Linked DNA regions of Astyanax mexicanus. The protein of the gene in region 1 purifies or fractionates together with the protein of each later gene. This does not show direct contact. Links are inferred from orthologs where the notes say so. Each region holds a gene or a part of one and is shown in the gene's direction. Other genes may lie near its edges.

Region 1 (10,456 bases):
CCAGCATTACATGGGGCTTTACTGCGCACTTTTTATCATGATTAAGGGCCTTTTTTTCACCAGCACTATTTGGTTCGTTTAAAACAGACTCCGGTTTGTTTGTACCCTTAATGCGGTTCAATTGAGTAGGTGTGAAAACAACCGAACCAAGACCTGCTAGTGGAGGTGGTCTTGGTCCCAAATAAACTCTGGAGCGGTTTGCTTGTGGTAAGAACATGATCCGACCTCGATCCTAGTCAGCTCTCAAATATACTGCTTTTATTTGAGCTAAACTGCTGATAAGGCGCAGTTTAGTTTGATATATCAGCCAGATAACGCTAATTACCACAGCTTTAAATAAACACTGTTTCTGCTTCTCCATGCTGTTTACACGTGGTGTGTGCAGCTTTTACTACTCTGTTTACTACCTGTACATCTGCGCTCCTCATCCTATTGAACACAGTTTGATTTAAAGCAGATCTTTAAACTGCACAGTTATACGCGCTGGAACACAGAATCTTCTATAAAAGAGCCTTAATGTCCAGTAATTCAGTGGAATATGGCAAGTATAAGTTCTTTATTACTGTTATCTTTATATTTAATACTGTGTGTAAAACATCAGTAGATCATAGCAGAATTGTAATCAGCATGTCTCCGGTTTGTGTTTCTCTCTTTGTGCTGAGTAGCTGGCAGACGGTGGTGCAGACGTGATCATTAACTGCACCGGCGTTCGATCAGGTGACCTTCAGGCGGACCCTGAGCTCACACCAGGCCGAGGCCAAATTATTAAGGTCAGAATAAAAACTGAAAGAATGCTGTTTAGCAAATATTGTCATAAATCAATCAAGGAAACAATATTATGGCCACCATCTTGTTTCTACAGTCTCTGTCCAATTCATCAGATTCACTGTATCTGTTTCTCTGTAAACTTTATTTTTCTCCTCCATTCACCCTGTTCTTCAATACTCAGAACCTACAGGAGAGAAAACCACCACAGAGCAGATATTATTTGGTGGTTTGTGGGTTTTTCTCAGCACTGCAGTTACACTGCCGTGGTAGTGTGTGTTAATTAGATGCAGCAGTGCTGCTGGAGTGTTTAAACACCTCAGTGTTACTACTAGCTAACCAACCAGAAATATCCAGCCAACAACATTCTGTAGGCACCTTTCTAAGGGCAGCATCCTGTAGGCAGTATTCTGTGGGCAGCGTCCTGTGGGCAGCGTCCTGTGGGCAGCGTCCTGTGGGCAGAGTCCTGTGGGCAGCGTCCTGTAGGCAGCGTCCTGTGGGCAGCGTCCTGTGGGCAGAGTCCTGTGGGCTACAGGGTGTTTCAGCTGTAGGTAGGAGTGTGTAATAGAGTGGAGGTGAGTGATGATTAAACACAGTTATTAAAAACTCCAGCAGCACTGCTGTATCTGGTCTATTTAAGAGAGACAAAACTTACATTTAAACTATATGTGATACTAATATGAGTGAATAAAGCTTAAATAGCTTATAAACCTATATATAAATACACAATAACCCCATTGTAAAAACAATATTTTAAAAATGACTGCTGTAGAGTCAAATCAGTGGCTATGATAATCGTCTGAAAGTGACAGAATTTTTGTTACAACCTTGTCGTTACTTGTTACTGTAGCTGCTTTAGTTTTAATTTTTAATAGTTTAATGCAAAGTTTGCATTTTTTATTTGTTTTGAACAAATCATCACCCTGAATCCTAAACTCACTGGCAATAATAATTTTTTTTTATTAACACTTGTCTTTTTTCACCTGCTAGGTAGATGCTCCTTGGATAAAGCACTGGATTCTTACACACAATTTTACAACAGGAGTTTATAATTCTCCTTATATCATCCCTGGGTAAGTTACTTCACCTGCGCAATGGGTAAACAGGGACCACCATTTCAGTCAGGTTGATCACAATAAATATATATAACTTTATTTACTACCAGCAAAACAAAATACAGCTTAAGGCCAAATGACAAGTTTGGTCAATTACCCAGAGAGGAACTTGAACCAAAGACCCCAGCACTGATAGGTGAATGTGTTAACCACCAACCCCCTGTGCAGACTGTTTAGATTCTACTGTACAGTCTGCAGTGTGAAATGTGTGTGAGCTTAAATTCAAAAGTAGCAAAATGCAATAAAGAGTGAAAGAATTTAAACAGATTTCATATGGTCCTACACTTATATCTTTAAGCTACTTTTAAGACACCAGAAGCTGTAGATTAAAGAGGATTTAACTGTGAACTTCATCTTCAGGAGTCGTTCGGTGACTGTGGGTGGAATTTTCCAGCGGGGAAACTGGAGTGAGCTGAACAGCTCCATCGACCACAAGAAAGTGTGGGATGAAGCCTGTGAACTGGAGCCCAGTCTAAAGGTACAGAGATTACAGTAGAGATTTTTTATTTATACTGGGCTGATTGTCTGATAGGATGATAGGAATGTGGGCGGGGTCTTCTTCAGTTTTGAGTAGCATGTCCACTGCCAGTGTAGTGTAAAGTGTATTTATTGTGAAATTACTTTAATATAATATGTTTATTTTTCTTGCCAGTCCATAGAGCTCATACAACAGTTGGACACATCATTAACAGCATCTGCCAGATATTCAGTATTTCCCCCTTGTGCCACAACAGCAGATCTAACCGTTTGACCTGTGGTGAAGGTGTTGTGTGGTATTTGACTGAGATTTTTAAGTCCTGTACGTTGGGAGGTGGGCGGGGAACATCCCACTAGTTTTTTGGAGATGTTCTGACCGAGTAACCTGTTTCGCTGTGCTCCCCCTCTTTTTTATTGTTCAAAATATTTCACAACCCAAACTGTGTATTCACAGATGTGTTTAAGTCAAACACTTGAGTAGAATGGAAAATTAGTTGGTCTGATCCAGTAAAAGACGACTCTGAATAATGTCTGTGTCTGTCAGATGCATTCTGGGATGGAGTTTATTCATTGGCTGTATGCATAAAGGATTGGTTTTGGACTACAGGATCCAGGTGTGATATATCAGATGTGAGTCTGAATAAGTGACATGGGCAGATGCATTCTGAAGTGGAGTTTTTTCGCTGACCATCCAGAGTCCAGACCTCAACATTGTTGAATTTAGTGTATGGTGTTCTTACTGATGGTTTAGTCTGGAGATTAAATGAACAGAGGATGGTCCTGAATGTTTATGCAGTACTGTACAGTACATGCATGTGCTGGAACTTACCAACATCCACTTCTTTACATCAGTGTGTCCTGTCTCTCCTCAGCATGCTCAGATCATACAGGACTGGACTGGTCTCAGACCAGTACGCAGTAAAGTGAGGCTGGAGAGGGAGAAGATAAAGTCTGGACTGAACACGTTTGAGGTGAGTTCTCAGAGATTTTTGTTTCTGCTCCTAACTCAGGAATAATACTGCGTTAAATACCTGTCAGTTTAAAGAAATGTCATTTTGGACAGAAGCCTTTCTATTGGTTCATTAACAAAGTAAAAAGTACAATCTGAAGTGTTTAAATAATGTAGGAAATGTAGGATCTTTTCTTTATTATTTTCCTTTTTTATCGGACAGTAACAAAATCTATGGTCACCTAATATGAAGTAGTTCATTATATAAAAAAAGTTCAGTGTAACATATAAATGTGAAAGGATACAGAGCATGGACTGTTTATATACAGTATATCTTTTCTGGCAGTTTTACAGGAGTTTCTAATGCAGAAGTTTCAGAAATTTATCTTCAACTGCATCTTTCACTTTTCCTGTGCTGTTTTCCATTAGGTCATCCATAACTACGGTCATGGAGGCTTCGGCCTGACGATCCATCGAGGCTGTGCTGAGGAAGCTGCTCGACTTTTTGGAGAAACCCTCCAGCAGAAATCTAGACTATGATCCTGAAGATTCCAATCATTTGTCTGAATCTAGGGTGCAGTTCTTTGTCCACAGTTTTAGACGTGATGTGAGAGTTCACACCTAAACCTCATCGAAATTAGACGAGGCTAATATGACAGTATGATTTCTGTCATTCTAAATTGTGTTAGAATACTAATACAGTATTCTTTTCTGAGTATATTACAGATATGTTATCAGTGCTTAAAGAACTGTGACCAGCAGCACATTTCATTACAGAGAGTATAATTAGTCCTGATGAATTAGATGAATTAGCACTGTAAATCACTATAACGGGCATGGGCGAGTTTTGGAATAGCATTTTAAGGATCTCTTTCTACTGCTGCATTTAAAAAATGTCAAAATACCATGATGCATATTGTGATTAATAAATATGTCATCATATTCTCATCATATTGCCTATCTGGACTCAAAATAGATAGATCTGATGCCTAGTTTTTGGTCTAAAACATACTTTTAACATTCATATAAGGTATATATATAACTTTTACGTTTTTCTTTTATATTCTTCACTATTTTTCCGCATATGAGTAGAATTGTAAATAAAATCTCTGTAGACATATCTTGACATGGTGACCCATCCACTGAATAAGGTAGAAATAAAAATTAGAAATATCATATAAAAATCATTGACATTCATTTTTTTTGTGCTTAATCATAACACTCTTGTGCTTGAACTATGACTTACATTATAGTGATGTAAAAAATAATAATTAAACATCTGTTAAATTAAACATACCACAAAAAAGATAGAATGTTTGTGTCTTTGTAACTTACACAATCAGCATGGGATCAAATAATTATTACTTGATTATGATAACGCAATAAACAAAAATGATAAAGAAAAATGAAAAAAGACTTATTTTTTAGTTTTTCATTTTATTTTTTCTTCTTCTTTCTTTTTTGAAACATAATTTATTGTAGATACAGATTTTAATCCAGTGTGGTGAAGGATATCTGTGCACACAGACACTAAACTCATGTAGGAGATAAGGCAGCTCTCTATCCCAGCACACAGAACTAGACCACATTAGAGGAAACTTACACTGTGATATAAATATCTGACAGTTGAGTTTTGTCAGGGTTTAAATCAGTTAGTGGTGCTCCTGACCGGGTCGAAGCTGAAAGTCTGAACCGGAGTTTCACTGCTGGACACCTTAAGGGACAAAACTAAAATGTGTATTTTAACTTTATTATTATGCATTTATTATGCAAAAAATATGTTTAAAGCATAAGAATTATATATAAGAGATAACTTTAAAATGATGAGTTTCTTCGATTTTACCAAACTGAAAACCTCTGGAATAGGATGGAGGATTACAAGTCATCAAACCAAGCTGAACTGCTTGAATTTATGCACCAAGAGTGGCATGAGTTTATCCAAAAGCAGTGTGTAAGAATGGTGGAGGAGAACATGCCAAGATGCATATAAACTGTGATTAAAAACCAGGATTATTCCACCAAATATTGATTTCTGAACTTTGTGGTCTGAAAGCTCTGCTTCTTTTTTGTTATTTCAGCCATTTCTCATTTTCTGCAAATAAATGCTCTAAATGACAATTTAGAGGGAGAAATGTTTTCTGTAGTTTATAGAATAAAACTACAATGTTTATTTTACTTAAATATATATCTATAAATAGTAAAAAATCAGAGAAACTGATTCAGAAACTTTTTCTAGAGCTGTATATGTAAATCTGCGGCTTTGCAGACAGACCCCTCACCTATTAATTTAGGAGTGACTCGCGCGCTCCCTCTCGCGGTGCGCGCTTATTACAGCATTGTGATTCTAGCAACACTTGGCAGGTGTCCAAAACGATTTCCTGTCAAAATAAAAGTTCCCTTAAATGTAATAAAAATCAGTTTTGAGGCTGTAAATGAAATAATATGAACTAGTTTAATAATATGTACAGTTTAAAACTGATTGAAAGCTTTTCGAAACATATAAAAACGTTTAAATAACGTAGATAAAAAGTAAAAAAAAAGTAAGAAATTGTACTAAAACTAGTGTTGCTGGGTAATACAGTTTTGCGCTGCGACTTTATTAATATATTGTGACGCAGGACACATAACTCATAATAAAGTAACATAATAAAGAAAAATATATTTCTTTTAGCTACTGACAGCATGTTTTATACTGGGCGAATAGTAAAAAATCTCTAGATTTCAGAGGTTTGACTGTCCTAAACCTGAAGCCGCTCTGCCCACGTGACTCTCCCGCATCACATGATGAGTGTGGCGCTGCTGTGAGGAGGAGACATGGCCGCGCACTTGTCTTACGGCAGAGTGAATCTGAACATTTTGAGGGAAGCAGCGCGGAAGGAGCTGCGGGAGTTTCTGGATAAGTGCGCGGGGAGTAAGGTACAGTCCGGGGCGGTGGGTACGGGCTTACAGAGCGGTGTTTACTAACGTTAACTAACCATCACAGCTCCCATCAGATCACCAGCCCACCGTGTAGCTACTGTTTAATATCATAAAATAACACATATATACACTGATTCACAGCTGTCATATATAGATATAGATATATATATATATATATATATATCATTATCTTTATTTATATATAGCAGGAGTTATTCACATACGCGTGTTTAATATGAAACAGTGTTAATCCTGGATACTACACTGCTGTTTAATCATGTACTCAGTACACTGAGGAAGGGCTTTACTCTGTTTTCATTTCACATCCGCCTATTTTACCATATTAAAGGAGAAATCCAGCACGACATGGACTTCAGTTGTAGTGAAACACAATAACTAGTACGAACTGTTCTCAAATAATCCCCCTCCGTTCTCCCCCAGCATTTCCAACTACCAAACACAGCACTTTTAGCCGATGCTCCCAACAGGTTTACCGTGGTAGTGATTGGGGCATAGCATTACTCATGCAGAGAAATCACTATCTTTACACCATTAACAAACTCAAAGTAGCTCCACACTTCATTGGTAGAACTGTGAGGGCCCTGACATTTAAAACAAGGCACTGAGGCCCTGTCCACATCAATCTGGATATTTTTAAAAAGCAAGGTTTTTTTATATCCCCATCCACTAGGGGCGGTTTATATGGCCCTAAAATAATATCATGATATTTCATGGTATTTTCAAATTAACAGTACTCTTGCCAATACGACAAAACACTGAATTAAAAAAATATATCTTTTTCAAGAATACATTTTAATTTTTATATTTGCATATTATATATCACACCCCTAATTGAGGGATTTAAAAATACAGTAATTTTATCAGCTTTGTAACAGAAGACAATGATCCAGAATGTTATGATACTAATAATGCACTCCATATATCTCCATATATCCAGGATTAAAGTAAGATGAAATGAATCTGGACAGATATAATTAAAAAACAGTGTGAATTTTTATTTTGCTAAAAATTGCAAAAAAGTAGTACCCAGGGGTGGGTGATCTGGCACGATATTTCAGGGTATAATATTGGTTACGATATTCAAAAATGTTGGCAATATTATTGCGTATGATAAGATATGGCACACCCCTACTGTCCACACGGAAAGGTCATACTACTAAATACTGAAAGAAACTTCCACAGGCGATTTCCAACAGTTGTTTCCCCTTCGATGCAAGGTCGAAGCATTTTACTCAAAGACACAAGAGATTCTCTAGACATTCAAGGTTTTCTCGTCACTCCTCAGAAACAACTATTTCATTTTCAAAATATTCCCACCAGGTGCTTGTTGGTCCAGGCCTGGTCCAAAATCTCCCTTCGCTGTAAAGTTTGTATCTCTGGACTGGAGTATTGAGAGAAAAAACTGCATGCAGCTCATTTTGGTGCCTCTACTGTGTTTGGTAAAGTGAGAGTAACCTAAAATGAAGCTGTGAACATGTTAATCCACCAATTGCAGAGAGAATTTCAGCATTTTCAGAGGTTTAAAAGTGCCCAGGGAGTTTAGTAAAGACACTGTTTATAGACAATTATGATATCAAACTCAAAATTTAGATTCGAATTGAATCAGTTCGTTTTAATCACAGAGCTTGTTTAGTACCCTGCTTTAAAATCTGCCTCAAAACAAAAAAAAAACCTTTTTGTGCATTTTAGTACACACCTAAGAAACTGCAAGCAGCTGATCTGAGATCAGAATATTTTGTACACAAATATTTATAAATGAGTGTGGAAAAGTCTGATCTGTGGTCTCAACTGAGTTTGCTGTGAATGTGACGCACAACATTGCCACGCTTAAAAAAGATGCAAAGCATTATAACTTTTTTGTGGAGAAAAATCACACACATTACACAGCTTTATTATATATTGCTCTTAATTTGTCAAACAATTAGCATTTATAAAACAGAAAAACCTAAAAAAGACATTGATCTGCTGTTTAAGATTAGTTTGATCTACACTTCCTGGCCCAAAAAAAAAGTCATCACCAAAAAAAAAGGTCACACATTAATATTTGGTTGGATGGACCACGTTTAGCTTTGATATCAATAAGCTTCTGCAGTGTCACAAGCTTTATTTCAATGCTGATCTCTCACCGGCTCTCTGTCTGAGGTAAAGACGAATCTGTCAGACATCTGTTAGGAAACAAGTGTAGTGCACACAGAGCCTGAACATCAGTGACGATGCCACCCCACACACACACACACACACACACAGAGAAGACAGAGTGTGTGGAGATGTGTTGGCTGGTGAACGTATTCTAAAGAAAGGCTAATAGGACTTTCTCAAATCTAAACGCCTTTAGAGAAGGTTTAGAAGGTTTAGAGAAGTTCAGTCCGGATAGACTTTGTTTTAAAGTTTCAAGGCTCTGATGTGAGAGTATTTTGCTTTAAGCCAAATGAGCGATAAGACCATCAGCGTGAATGAGCCGGTATGTCGTCTTTGTTTTAAAGCAGTGGAAACAAAGCTAAAATTTAATTTAAAGCACAAAAATCCAGCCCAATTTTCCAAGCTGAATATTATATATATATATATTGTTCCTCCAGAGAGATCCTGCCTCAAGCCCCACAGTAAACGTTTTGGTGTTCCTGCTCGGATTTTGTCTGACAGTTACATTAAAAAATACATTTGTAGCAAGAGCTCTGGACTGCTGGGCATCTGTGTCTTTGATCATATAATGTATTAATGTATTAATGTAAATGTTACTAATCTATTTTTTGTTACTAGTAATTTTATAATGGGAGCTCAATGTCTGCTCTTAATAATACAATGTTAGTTTAACTGTAAAATGGTTTAATAGTATTATGCTAGTATATTATTACTGTGGCACATTGTCTTAAAGCACCTTTGGGAGCGGAGAAGCAGGGAAAAATTATTTTCTATAGTGGCACTTTAAAATGACTATTATCGTTTATCTCAATAATTTCTGGGATAATATATCGTCCTGAAAGTTTTGTTATTGTGACAGGCCTAGCTGAACCTAGACCTGACCAAGTTTATACTGGTTATCATGTTTCACTACAACACAAGTCTGTTTCACTCCAGATTTCTCCTTTAACACTATTTTAAAGACCATGCTCCTGTACCTGCTGCAAAGGGAAGACTGTTGTGTTGTAAAAGACTGTAAATCTTGTGTAAAGTCTGGGAAAGATGCTTTTAAGAGAATGGACACCATTAACATCCTGCTTAATGATTTGATGAATTGATGTTTTATAAATAAGCTATTTAATCATTTTTTTCTTCTGTTTGTTTTAGGCTATCGTCTGGGACGAGTACCTTACTGGACCATTCGGTTTGATAGCTCAGTATTCCTTGTTAAAGGTGAGTATTCATTTTAACCATCTTAAAATGTGTGGGGAAAAAAATTGGACATCCCAAACTGCAATAAAATGTTTTCAGGGAGGTAACACCTGGCCTGCATGTTATAGATATCTTAAGATATATAGTTTGCAGCACAGTGGGAAATTAAAACACATCTCAGTTGCATGTTTCGTGAATTTTACAAAAGGTCACTGTTTAAAAAAATATTTTATTTTATTTAAATTTTCTTTATATGTATATTTTGTGTAACCGGGTAAACATGTCTTCTTTTCACCACTTCACCACGGAGTGCTGGTTGAGTTCAAGATGTGATTAGTTGGTGTGACAAAGCATGATTGCTAAGTTAAAAAAAATTAGATTACTTTTTATAATATAATACACCACATGTTGTGAACTTGGATGAATGATGACCCTTCCACATGAGTTTAAGAGTGTTTTGGCAAATTAGATTCTTCAAAGAACTGTTAATTCAAGTAAACCTTGAAAAAGATGTGCTATAGAAATGCAGTGTATAAATTTTAAGATGCACTATACACCACTTCTGAATGTCTGAAAGAAGCTGTGTTCTGTTACTATCATTGATCCCAGAGGGAAATTCTGGACATCCAGCAGCAGGTATACATAGTACACAAAAGTTACAAAGAAGGTTAAGATACAGTGATAAATATAAAAATCCAATAAAATATAAAGTATAAAAGTACAGTCTTTAGTGTCTGTGTAATGAAGTTAGTGCTTTTGAACATAGTAGACTATGAACACAAGTTGATGTGCATATTGTGAGGATAACTGATGACAGACATACAGAAAGTGCAAATACACAGTTTACAATAATTATTTAAATTAAGCAGTGCAAACTTGT
Region 2 (10,659 bases), on another chromosome or scaffold:
ACTGAATCACCGCAGGGTCCTTGTATTTGAGGCGCGTTGGAGCAGGTCGTGGTCGACTAGAGAACACATATGCTCCGTTTGGAGCCTGGTTGTGGGGCTGTAACGCCAAAGCCATTCTTGCTCAATAAAATATCTGTTAAGATATAATATTTGCTGATAATATAAATAAAGAGACGCAGAAGAGTAAACAATGTAATGAACCTCTGCTGCTGCTGTTGTTAGTGGTGGTTTCTAGGCAACAGTGACCGCTACAGGTTAGTGACGTGTCGTTCGCGAACGATCCGGCTGTAAGAGCCGGCTCTTTGAAGTGAACGATTGGAACCACAATGGGAGCCGTTTTAGGATCCTTTTCGGGAGCCGTTTTTTCCTTCAGTATCTCGCTGTCTCTCCACCTCCCTGTCGTGCCACAGAGCCGACAGATTTTTTCCTATGTCGTTTTTTTTGTCCTTCGGTGCCTCGCTGCAACAATTTTGTAACTGTTTCTTTGACAATAGTTGTATTTTAGAGGCTTACACGTTTGTATGTTCTTGGTAAATCTGTGATAACTAGTGTAGAGGACTGGTGAGAACGAGTGGTCCAGCACTGTAGTAAATTCTACATCTTTCATTGTTTATGGCCTTTGAAGGGAGACAGATTCATGGTTTAATAAGAGTTGGTTGTGTTTGGTCATACTGTATAAGACACAGTAGGGTTGCAGCGGTAACCGGTTTCACGGTATACCATGGTATTAAAATGCACGGTTATCATACCGTGTGTGTTTGCTTATTACCGGTAAAAGGCAAGCCAGCGGAGAAACTCACCCGCGCATGCGCAACTCTGCTCCGCTTCAGCTTCTCAGCACACAGCGGTGAGAACGGCAGAACATGCATCAGACTAAACAAATCTCCGTCCGCCTAAAAAAAGGCTAAACTAAAATCAGCAGTGTGGGACTATTTCAGATACCCGCCGAGAGCACCCGAGGATGGTTATCCGATTTGTAATCAATGTGGCCGTAAAGTCACAGCTAAAGGTGGACATCCGTCAAACCTGTTCTCCCATCTCCGAGAACACCACCCCGCTGTGCAGCGCAAAGTATGTGTTTAGTTTATAATTTTAATCTGAACCTAAATAAAACCTCTTTGTAGTCGTGCACAACCCATGCGGTAAGCGCCCGCAAAAGCGCTGAGTTATCCGAAATTTGGGCACGCAGGTACAGGCGTGAAGTGCGTGCTACGATGGATTCACGTGTCCGTGTAAAGGTCCTGGCCGGACTGGATGTGAAAGACGCCATTCATTTACATGCGTTCATTTTTAAATTCTGACGTGCCTGTTTTTCATATGTTAAAACCAGACTCGCTGTGAAAGCCTTAAAATAGAAATCTCTATTGTGAGGATCATGTCAGAAATAAATCCCCTCTTTCTGCAGCATCTGGTTATATACCAACTTGGCAGTAAAATGGACGTTTACAACAGTTGTTGATCAGACACTGACCCAGGCTCAGTTTATCAGATATTAAATAATTTAAACTTAAATAATTGTACTGAATATTTTAAATACAGGATCTTTACTTTTTAGAGCACATGTAATGTGTGACACGTGTGTGTGTGTGTGTATGTGTGTGTGTGTATGTATATATATATATATATATATATATATATATATATTTTTTTATATACACCCTTAATGTCCTTAAGAGTAGTGGAAAAACCTGGTTTCCTTCACCTAATGGTGTACAGTTTATTTTTTTTAAGGAGACATTATCTATATAGTTGTTCCAGGTTTCTACAATAAATAGTTAATTGAACAAAAAACCTTTGTTGTAATTTCTTTAAGGGTCAGTTTAATAATATATGTAACAAACTGTGATACCGTGATAACCGTGATACCGCGGTATTTTCTGAGACGGTTATCATACCGTGAAAATCTCATACCGTTGCAACCCTAAGACACAGCATTACTAAAGTACTGTACTACTGAAGTAGACAACATTAAAATAGAATGCTCTAAAGTCAGTAATGACAGAGATCATCATACAAATTCAGATGCACTCAGGTTCTAAAGTATAAAGCCCTACACAGGATCACTTCTGAGTATTTGCGAGACCTCATCTCCTATTATGAACCACCATGATGACATAGATCTCAGGGTGCTGGTTTCTTAGTAGTTCCTAAAATTCAGAGACGCTCTGCAGGAGGAAGAGCTTTCTCTTATAAAGCTCCCTAACTCTGGAATAATCTCCCCGAATATGTTCGGGACTCAGACACAGTCTCAATCTTTATGTCTAGACTAAAAACTTACTTGTTTAGCTTATCTTTTAATTAATGTTATTAATGTTTTTTCCCTTTGGATAAGGCTGCAGATCCAGGGGTTCATGGACAGAGGGAATTGTGGTAAACTGGGCTGGTGCTGCTGTTCTCCCACTGCACACGCTCACTCAGGTTTGTGGACGGTGGAGTGGGTGAATGCTGGTGTTTCAGGCTGCCTTCGTGTCTATGTTTACTTCTGGCTCTCTACCTTTAGTTAGGCTGTTTCATTCAGATCTGCCAGAGTCATTAGCCACACTAGCCAAATATGATAATGTTTCATATTTTCTGTTCTCCATAAATTCAGTTAAAACTAATTCCATCTCTCTCCCGGATGTTGGACCCTCAGGATCTCATGTCCTCTGTCCGGCCAGACTAATGGAAGTTTCGGAAGTCAGCTCTTCTCCATCACCCACCACAGATTAGCTGCTCATCATTCATCTTAAACACAGAAGAGGACACAGCCATGGAGCCTCAGGTGGAGCTCAGAGAGTCACGGCCTGAGAAAAGGGAAGAATCTTGATTGATTGTCTGCCAGTCAGGGGATAGCACCACCACTGCTACCAGAACACTACAGAGGAAATTAAACAGTCAAGAGCCATGATTCTGTGGAGTATGATGTTGTTAAAGACTGATAATCATTTCTTAAATAAGAGTTTGGCTAGATTCAATCCTTGGCATCAAGCAGAAATGTGTAGTGTGTACCTAAATAACGTTCACATGTGGGGCCTGTATGATCCGACCAATTGAGACCCAAAAGCTTTTGTCCATGGGTTTCACGTATGGATGTCAGTGATTGCCCTATCAGGATCAGTGATCAGACTTGTCTTGTCTCGAGTTTTGCCAAATCTGAACTCAGTGTCTTTTTGATTCAGGTTCAGATGTATCAAACATATCATGTTCAGTGAACAGCTGTTTCAAGAATGTATGGAACACAAATGCGAAAAGAAAAACAAAATTACGATCCTCAAGAACCACGGTGTAACATAGAACAACAATAAAATAGTGCAATAAGATGCAAAAGTGTAAAAATAGTGCAACATAAAACTGTAACACTACAATAAATACAACAGAAGATACATTTCTAGTCAGAATAAAATGCTGGAAGGTGCTGTTAAAGAAACTTAAGAAGACAGAGCTCTTCAAAGAGCACTTACTCCCCTAACACCTCTAACTAACTACCTTCTACTACCAGATCAGGAGAATCTCTCACTATCTTTAATAAACTCCTGAAGACAGAGCTCTTCAAAGAGCACTTACTCTCCTAACACCTCTAACTAACTACCTTCTACTACCAGATCAGGAGAATCTCTCACTATCTTTAATAAACTCCTGAAGACAGAGCTCTTCAAAGAGCACTTACTCTCTTAACATCCTTTAACTAACTAATTACTTTTCCTCCTCTATCTCACTATTCCCTTTGAGCTAATTTAGGCTCATTTCAGTCTCTGTGTGCTGAGAGAGAGAGTGTGTGTGTGTGTGTGTGTGAAGAGTGGTGGTGGGGTTCAGTTCAGTTCTGTGTGTGTATGTGTGTGTGAAGAGTGGGGGTGGGGTTCAGTTCAGATCTGTGTGAGCGCGTGTGAAGAATGGTGAGGGGGGTCAGTTCTGTGTGTGTGTGAAGAATGGTGGGGGGGGGGGGGTTCAGTTCAGTTCTCTGTGGGTGTGTCTGAAGAATGGTGGGGGTTCAGTTCAGTTCTGTGTGAGTGTGTTGTGTGTGTGTGATGGGTGGGGTGGGGTTCAGCTGTGCCTCTGTGTGTTGAGGAGTCTGACTGCCTGATGGATGAAGCTGTTGCAGAGTCTAGTAGTGGAGGCTCGGGTGCTCCTGTATCTTCTGCTGGACGGCATCAGAGCGAAGAGTCCGTGTGAGGGATGGGAGGGGTTGTCCACAATGCTGGTGGCTTTGCGGATGCGGCGTGTGGTGTAGATCTCGGTGATTGAGGGAAGAGAGACTCTTCTCGGCTGTCCTCACTATCCGTTGTAGGGTCTTGCGGTCTGAAGTGTTGCAGTTCCCATGCAGGTGTTTAGGATGCTTTTTTACAGTCCCTCTGTAGAACATGGTGAGGATGGGAGGTGGAAGATGTGCTTTCCTCAGTCTGATGTTAAGTGAAGTTTAAGGGTTAACTTTATCTAGCACTCAGTGCTGCATCTTTACATCTAAGGCTGTATCTCTGAAAACATTTCCTCCTTTGAGTTTTAGAGCTGTAAAAAAGGGGAAGGCAGGTGGACGTTCTCTGCTCCAGTACCGTTAGCCAATCAAAGGCGATATATTTGCATGTATGAATATTTATGAGCACAAGCCTCTAATTTAGTAAACTAAACAGGGCTAAATAGAAACACCTGAGCATTCATTCATACTAGAGACCACAACATTGATGGAATGAGACCTTTAAGACATTGCTTATAGTACTATGCATACTATTAGGGTCATTATGGATATATATTTACAGTGTATTTCAAACACTGTATTGAAATATATGGTATTAGATCTAAACATGCGGGGTGATCACTAAATAAGAGTAAGTATTAATAAATACAGGACTGAGGTAATAAAAAGGGTATCTGGCTCCCTCATGTGGTGTATATTTATAATTGCATTTTTATAGTGAAAATCTAAAAGCCACTCCCCAGAAAATGTGTGTGTGGTAAATCATGTTGCTTATTTTCAGTTTTATTCCTGTACACACTGTAAACGTACAAGCTATTGTACATAACAAATATATTTCTATACTGTCACTACATCACTCATATGCTAAATTATCTGCATGTTTACTGTGTATTTGTACCTTTAAATCTATTTTTATATTAGCTTTATATATTGTAAAACAGTTTAGCTTGTGAAATATATTTTTAGTAAAAAAATATTTTTTGAGTAGAAGTAATTTGTGCGAAAGTACATCAGATAGATCTGGTTTCATACATTTCCATTTTTTTTAAACAACGGATATTTAATTGTATGTTTACATCTGTATATATATATATATATATATATATATATATATATATATATATATATATATATACTTTTTTACCATTTTAATACATCTGACAGTGTAATAATGTACTTATTACGGTATATTGAATAATGATCATTGTTCCATCTGTTAATGCATTGAAACGTTGATCTCCGACATCAGAACTGATTTATTTGTGCAAATTGGTTTTACATTGATTTAAGGTTATGATTGTATATGTATTGTGTGTATTAAACATCACTTACATTAAACATGTATATCTTGTTTCTTTTCTATAACTACAGCTCGTATTGCGTTCTTGCAGTGTAGAAATCAGCACAAATAATGTGAATAAATTTGTTATTTCTGTGCTGTTTCAGTGTACGGTCTGCTTTTATCTCTTAAATATAACTAGATACTTTTATACAGCGTTAGGGATCATATAATAAATAACTAGATACTAGTTATCAGGGACAAACGTAGATCCAATAAAAACTTTACTACTACTACGGTTGTATAAACGCCTTGTCCCTTTAGGGATTCCGTAGAGAAAGTTCCGAGGGGGTGCCGCTGGGTAATGAAGTTTTATTGACATTAGGTCAAAATCAGGTATTACCCTAAAACAAAGAATGGTTAAATAATGTGTTAGAACAGAGTAAAAACGGGCTGTGTGGGATAAATGTGTGAACTGAATGACAGTCAGGCTGTCGGCACATTAAAGTATTTAATAACAGCCCTCTAAACGGAACTTTATCACATGAGCGGATGTAGTCCGCAGGAAGCGGCGGTCCGGTCCGGTTCTACGGCAGCAACAGCAGGGCGGGGAAAGCCGGAGCGGAGCGGAGAGCAGCGGGGACGGGAGAACAGGGAGGCCCAGCAGCAGAGCAGCCTCCCCGGACAGAACCGCGGCGCTACCGGCTGGGGTACGGAGCTTTATTCACTGTGGCTCTCAGCAGAAATCTCGGTGTTAAAACACCGCTTATTAAAGTTCCACCGCTAGCAGGTGTTCTATCGAGTTGTGCTACCCAGCGATATGTGCGAGTTTGAATTGTTCCCCATTTGTTTTCCTCTGTTTCGTGTCACTTTATTTTCAGCATAATTTTGACTTACTGGCATTATATAATTGGCTTAAGTGTTAATGATTAATAAATAAATTTAAAAAATAAAATAGTTCTTGATCTCAATTATCTCGTATTTATCTAGCAAGCATTCAGCTTCATACAGTGATTTATCCATGTCTAGGCCATCCAGATAGCCAGAAGATAACATAGCTAGGTACAGGTATTAGCTATAATTGATATAGCTACTACTGTTTGTATTATCTTATATGATCAACCTTATATAATTTAGCCTGACCAAAATATTTTTTAAGGCTCAGCTAGGGTTACCTATTTTTCTTTTTATCTGTAAATTTACCTGACTTTACGTAAATGTATATATTTATGATAGTACACATACTTTTATATCTTAGTATTTTATTTACGTACAATATTTTATTTATTTATAGTGTCCTTGGCTTATTATTATTATTATTATTATTATTATTATAGGATACCCTGTGGTAGCACGTTTTGGCAAGGTTGCACAATTCGTCAGAACACTGCGATTCACTGAACTGCGCTGCTGAACTCCGCTAGCTGTGGCTAACAGTTAGCACGCTAGCTTTTCTTTGGTGTTGTGGTGCCAGTGTAAAGCTGTTGGCCCTGGTTTCCGTGGTGTTTTATTAAAGATGAGGGTTCGACCATGGCCACACTGTTAGCCAGCTACATTATTGTTTTAATATTGTAATTATCTAGCTGCTCTGGTCTCATGCTAGTTAGCTAATCAGCACAGCCAGCAGGCTAGCTCTCTGTTAGCATGCTGACTAGCAGCTTCACACAGTTAGCCTTACTGTCATTCAGTTGTCAGAGCTGTCAGGGAGTGTTTACTACAGAGACTCATTTAGGATCGTTAGGTGTGAAGAAGCCTTTACAGGTAATGTGTCCCCATACGGGTTGTGTATGGGTAGCCCAACTGGGAAGCAGTACATTTTATGTTAACAGCTTTCATGTTGACCCCACATATGGATGCCTGTAAGCAGGGTTGCCAGTTCCAACAAAAAATATCCAGCCCAAAGTCAGTCTAAAACCTGCCCTTCATAAGCTTAAGCTAGCCCAAAATATATATCTGTCACACATTTGAAGCGAATGGCAAAACAACTGAGTGTACCCCTTAGTATTTTGTTTATAAGGGGTTTATTATCAGTATTGCTGTTTAACTCTCCTGAACTCTCTTCTCTCCTGTTTAACAGTTTTTTTTTTATCGCCTGGTGATTTGTGGTTTCTCCTCTCTCTCTCTCTCTCTCTCTCTCTCTCTCTCTCTCTCTCTCTCTCTCTTTCTCTCTTTCTCTCTTTCTCTCTCTCTCTCTCTCTCTCTCTCTCTCTCTCTTCCTCCGTTTCTGCATCTCTCTCTCCCCCTTTCTCTACCCATCTCTCTTGATCTGTTTCTCTCTCTCTCTCTTCCTCTCTTTCTCCATCTCTCTCTCTTTCTCCTCCTCTCTTTCTCCTCCTCTCTCTCTCCCACTCCATCTCTCCCCCTTTCTCCCCCCCCCTTTCTCTCCCAATCTTTCTCCATCTCTCTCCCCTCTCTCATCTCTCTCCCTCTCTTTCTCTTTCTCCATCTCTCCCCTCTCCTTCTCCATCTCTCTCCCCCTCTCCTTCTCCATCTCTCTCCCCCTCTCCTTCTCCATCTCTCTCCCCCTCTCCTTCTCCATCTCTCTCCCCTCTCCTTCTCCATCTCTCTCCCCCTCTCCTTCTCCATCTCTCTCCCCCTCTCCTTCTTCATCTCTCCCCCTCTCCTTCATCTCTCTCTCTCTCTCTCCCTCCCTCTCTCTCTTTCTCCCCCTCTTTCTCCCCCTCTCTCTTTCCGTCTCTCTCCTGCTCTCCTTTTGTACACTGTCCTCCTTTATGTTGTTATGTTCTCTAGATTCTTTATTTTGTAAACAATCTTGGAAGATTGGAAGATTTTAGTGTACACGTTTGTCCGCCGTGTTGACGTAACATCCAAGGCAACACCCACTTTTTAGTTTTTTTGGCGGCCAATGTAATTTTTAAATGGAAACCCAAAAAACCCTAACCCTAACCCCTAAAATTCCACTTGACTGGATTTTAAAACAAGCCTAATTTGGCGGGAAAACCACAAACCTGGCAACTGTGCTTGTAAGGGGCAGTTAAGAGGGCAGGAGGAGGTTACACATGGGGCTGGTCTGAGTTGTACACTACACATGAGATTGAGGTGGGCTGAAATGATTTGACCCATTTGGGAAGCCCAACCGGGTCCCAGTAACACGTACAAGCCCACTCAGGTTGTTGTTGACTTTCTTCTTGATTGGACTGAAATGATAGTAGATCACATGGCTTTAAGAAGACTGAAACGTTTTTTTCCCTCTGTTATACAGATGTACTGATAATATGCTGATTATATAATAATGTAGATTTAACGTGTAGTAATAGTACATTGGAGATTTTTGACAAAATGTACTGCCTGAAAATTTTACGGTATATTTTCGAACATGCTGTTTCTTAAAACATGTATCATCCTTGTGTAAGTAACACTTACTTTACATATTTGGCTCTGTCTATATAGAGGCTAAGCTATTGATAACTTGCTCTCTGTGCAAACTAGACTATTTTACCAATTAAAAGTTGCAAGTAGACTCGCCCTCACCCTTGACAGAGCATAAAAGAGAACAGAATAGCGCAATTGGCTAAAATACAGCTTATTGAAGTATTTTTACTCGTCCTTTTAATGCTTATTCTTTTGGAATCTAACCCATTATTGCGTTTTTGTGCATGTATTGTACAGCAAGTTGATAACAACTAACCATAGCAGGCCTATCCTTACATACAAGTATATAACATTCTAAGTAAACATATACTGCAAATTTATTAAAGAAAGTCTGTATTGAAATTCACTCCAGTGCATCCTAACTGACTCTGAATTCATATCTCCCTCCTCTCTCCAAGCAGATGTGAACATCAGCATGAGTGTGAAGGCCTTTGAGCTGGTGCCCGCTGTGGAGCGGGAGCAGTTGATGGGCGAAAAGGTGCGCATCGGCATCGAGTGCATAGAATGCTGCGGGCAGCACTTGTACGTGGGCACCAACGACTGCTTTATCCATCACTTCCTTTTGGAAGAACGCTCCACCAAAGGCAGGCTTACCTACAGCAGCCAGAAGCTCCTGCAGAAGTTTCTGGGTCTGAAGAAGCCCGTGGCCGAGCTGAAGGCCGCCTCGGCTCTGGAGCGTCTCATTATCCTGTGTGATGGCACCGTCTCTCTGTTGGACATGGTCACTCTGGAGCCTGTACCGTTTGGTGGAGCCAAGGTGAAAAATGTGATTGCGTTCTGCGTCAATGAGAACCCAGTAACGGCCGACCCCTTCTGTGTGGAGATGGCGGTGGTGTCGGCGCGCCGACGGGCCGTCCAGATTTTCACAGTGCACGAGGATCGGGTCCAGATGCTGAAGGAGGTGACCACGCCTGAGCAGCCCTGTGCCCTCAGCGTGGACGGCTACTTCCTGTGCCTGGCACTGCCCACGCAGTACATGATCCTCAACTACAGTAGCGGAGCCTCGCAGGACCTGTTTCCCTACGACAGTGAGGAGAGGAAGCCCATCGTTAAGAGGATCGGCAGGGAGGAGTTCCTACTGGCTGCTCCGGGTGGACTTGGTGAGTTCAGCACCAGGAACAGTAAACAGTTGTCACTCATGTGGAAGCATACTGAAAGCATTTTGTTGATTATGTAATTTTATAGAATATAGGACAATATATTTGCCACTGCTGTGCAATTTAAGCAGTTAATTCCAGTCATAAATTTAGCTCGGCAGTGCCACTCTAGTCACATGTAAAATTTTTACATTTGCTCAGAGATAGTCAGTCTTTTGGTAAACAAACAAACAAACACTAAAGTTAAGTTATCTCAGCAAATGTTATTATACTATACTGTATCTACAGCTCCAGTATCTCATAGTGGTCATTCTCTGCAGCTCTGAGGACCAATTGTGGTGGATTCCTGTCCACATATTAAGGTGTCTTCAAATCAGACAGTGTGATACGGCATGCTGTGGTTGCATAATCATGATCCTGTATTGTGTCATTATTTCTGCTGGTAACTGAAACAGTGGGTGGAGAATATGGGTAGATTTTGAAATAGTGAAAAATATTAGTTACACAAATTTGGCCTATCATGATAACTATCATATTTTTTGGGATAATATGTTGAACCAGAAACTGCAAATAACAAAACTTTAATATTTTAAGATCATTGTATGCCACTTGTATAATAATGATATATTTGCATTATGGCCCTATGATTTCTGTAATGCAGAAAACACGGACAGAACCACGGAATTAAGCAATTACAGCAAAATTCAAATGCACAGAGTTAG

Evidence for each region.
Region 2: the proteins of vps33a (region 1) and tgfbrap1 purify together in Homo sapiens (co-immunoprecipitation; 5 studies listed by BioGRID and IntAct, with this or other methods). This does not show direct contact. The link is inferred for Astyanax mexicanus from reciprocal best matches to the Homo sapiens genes VPS33A and TGFBRAP1.

What each region holds. Positions count from the first base shown.
Region 1 is NC_064429.1:3,076,266-3,086,721, reverse strand, and holds the start of vps33a (vacuolar protein sorting-associated protein 33A), read left to right. Parts: upstream 1-6,067; 5' UTR 6,068-6,120; coding exon 6,121-6,222; intron 6,223-9,531; coding exon 9,532-9,597; intron 9,598-10,456. Other genes in the region: D-amino-acid oxidase, read left to right, coding at 666-770, 1,756-1,838, 2,241-2,358, 3,230-3,328, 3,736-3,846.
Region 2 is NC_064412.1:43,278,071-43,288,729, reverse strand, and holds the start of tgfbrap1 (transforming growth factor-beta receptor-associated protein 1 homolog), read left to right. Parts: upstream 1-5,910; 5' UTR 5,911-5,991; coding exon 5,992-6,157; intron 6,158-9,241; coding exon 9,242-9,940; intron 9,941-10,659. UniProt on the Homo sapiens protein: Plays a role in the TGF-beta/activin signaling pathway. It associates with inactive heteromeric TGF-beta and activin receptor complexes, mainly through the type II receptor, and is released upon activation of signaling.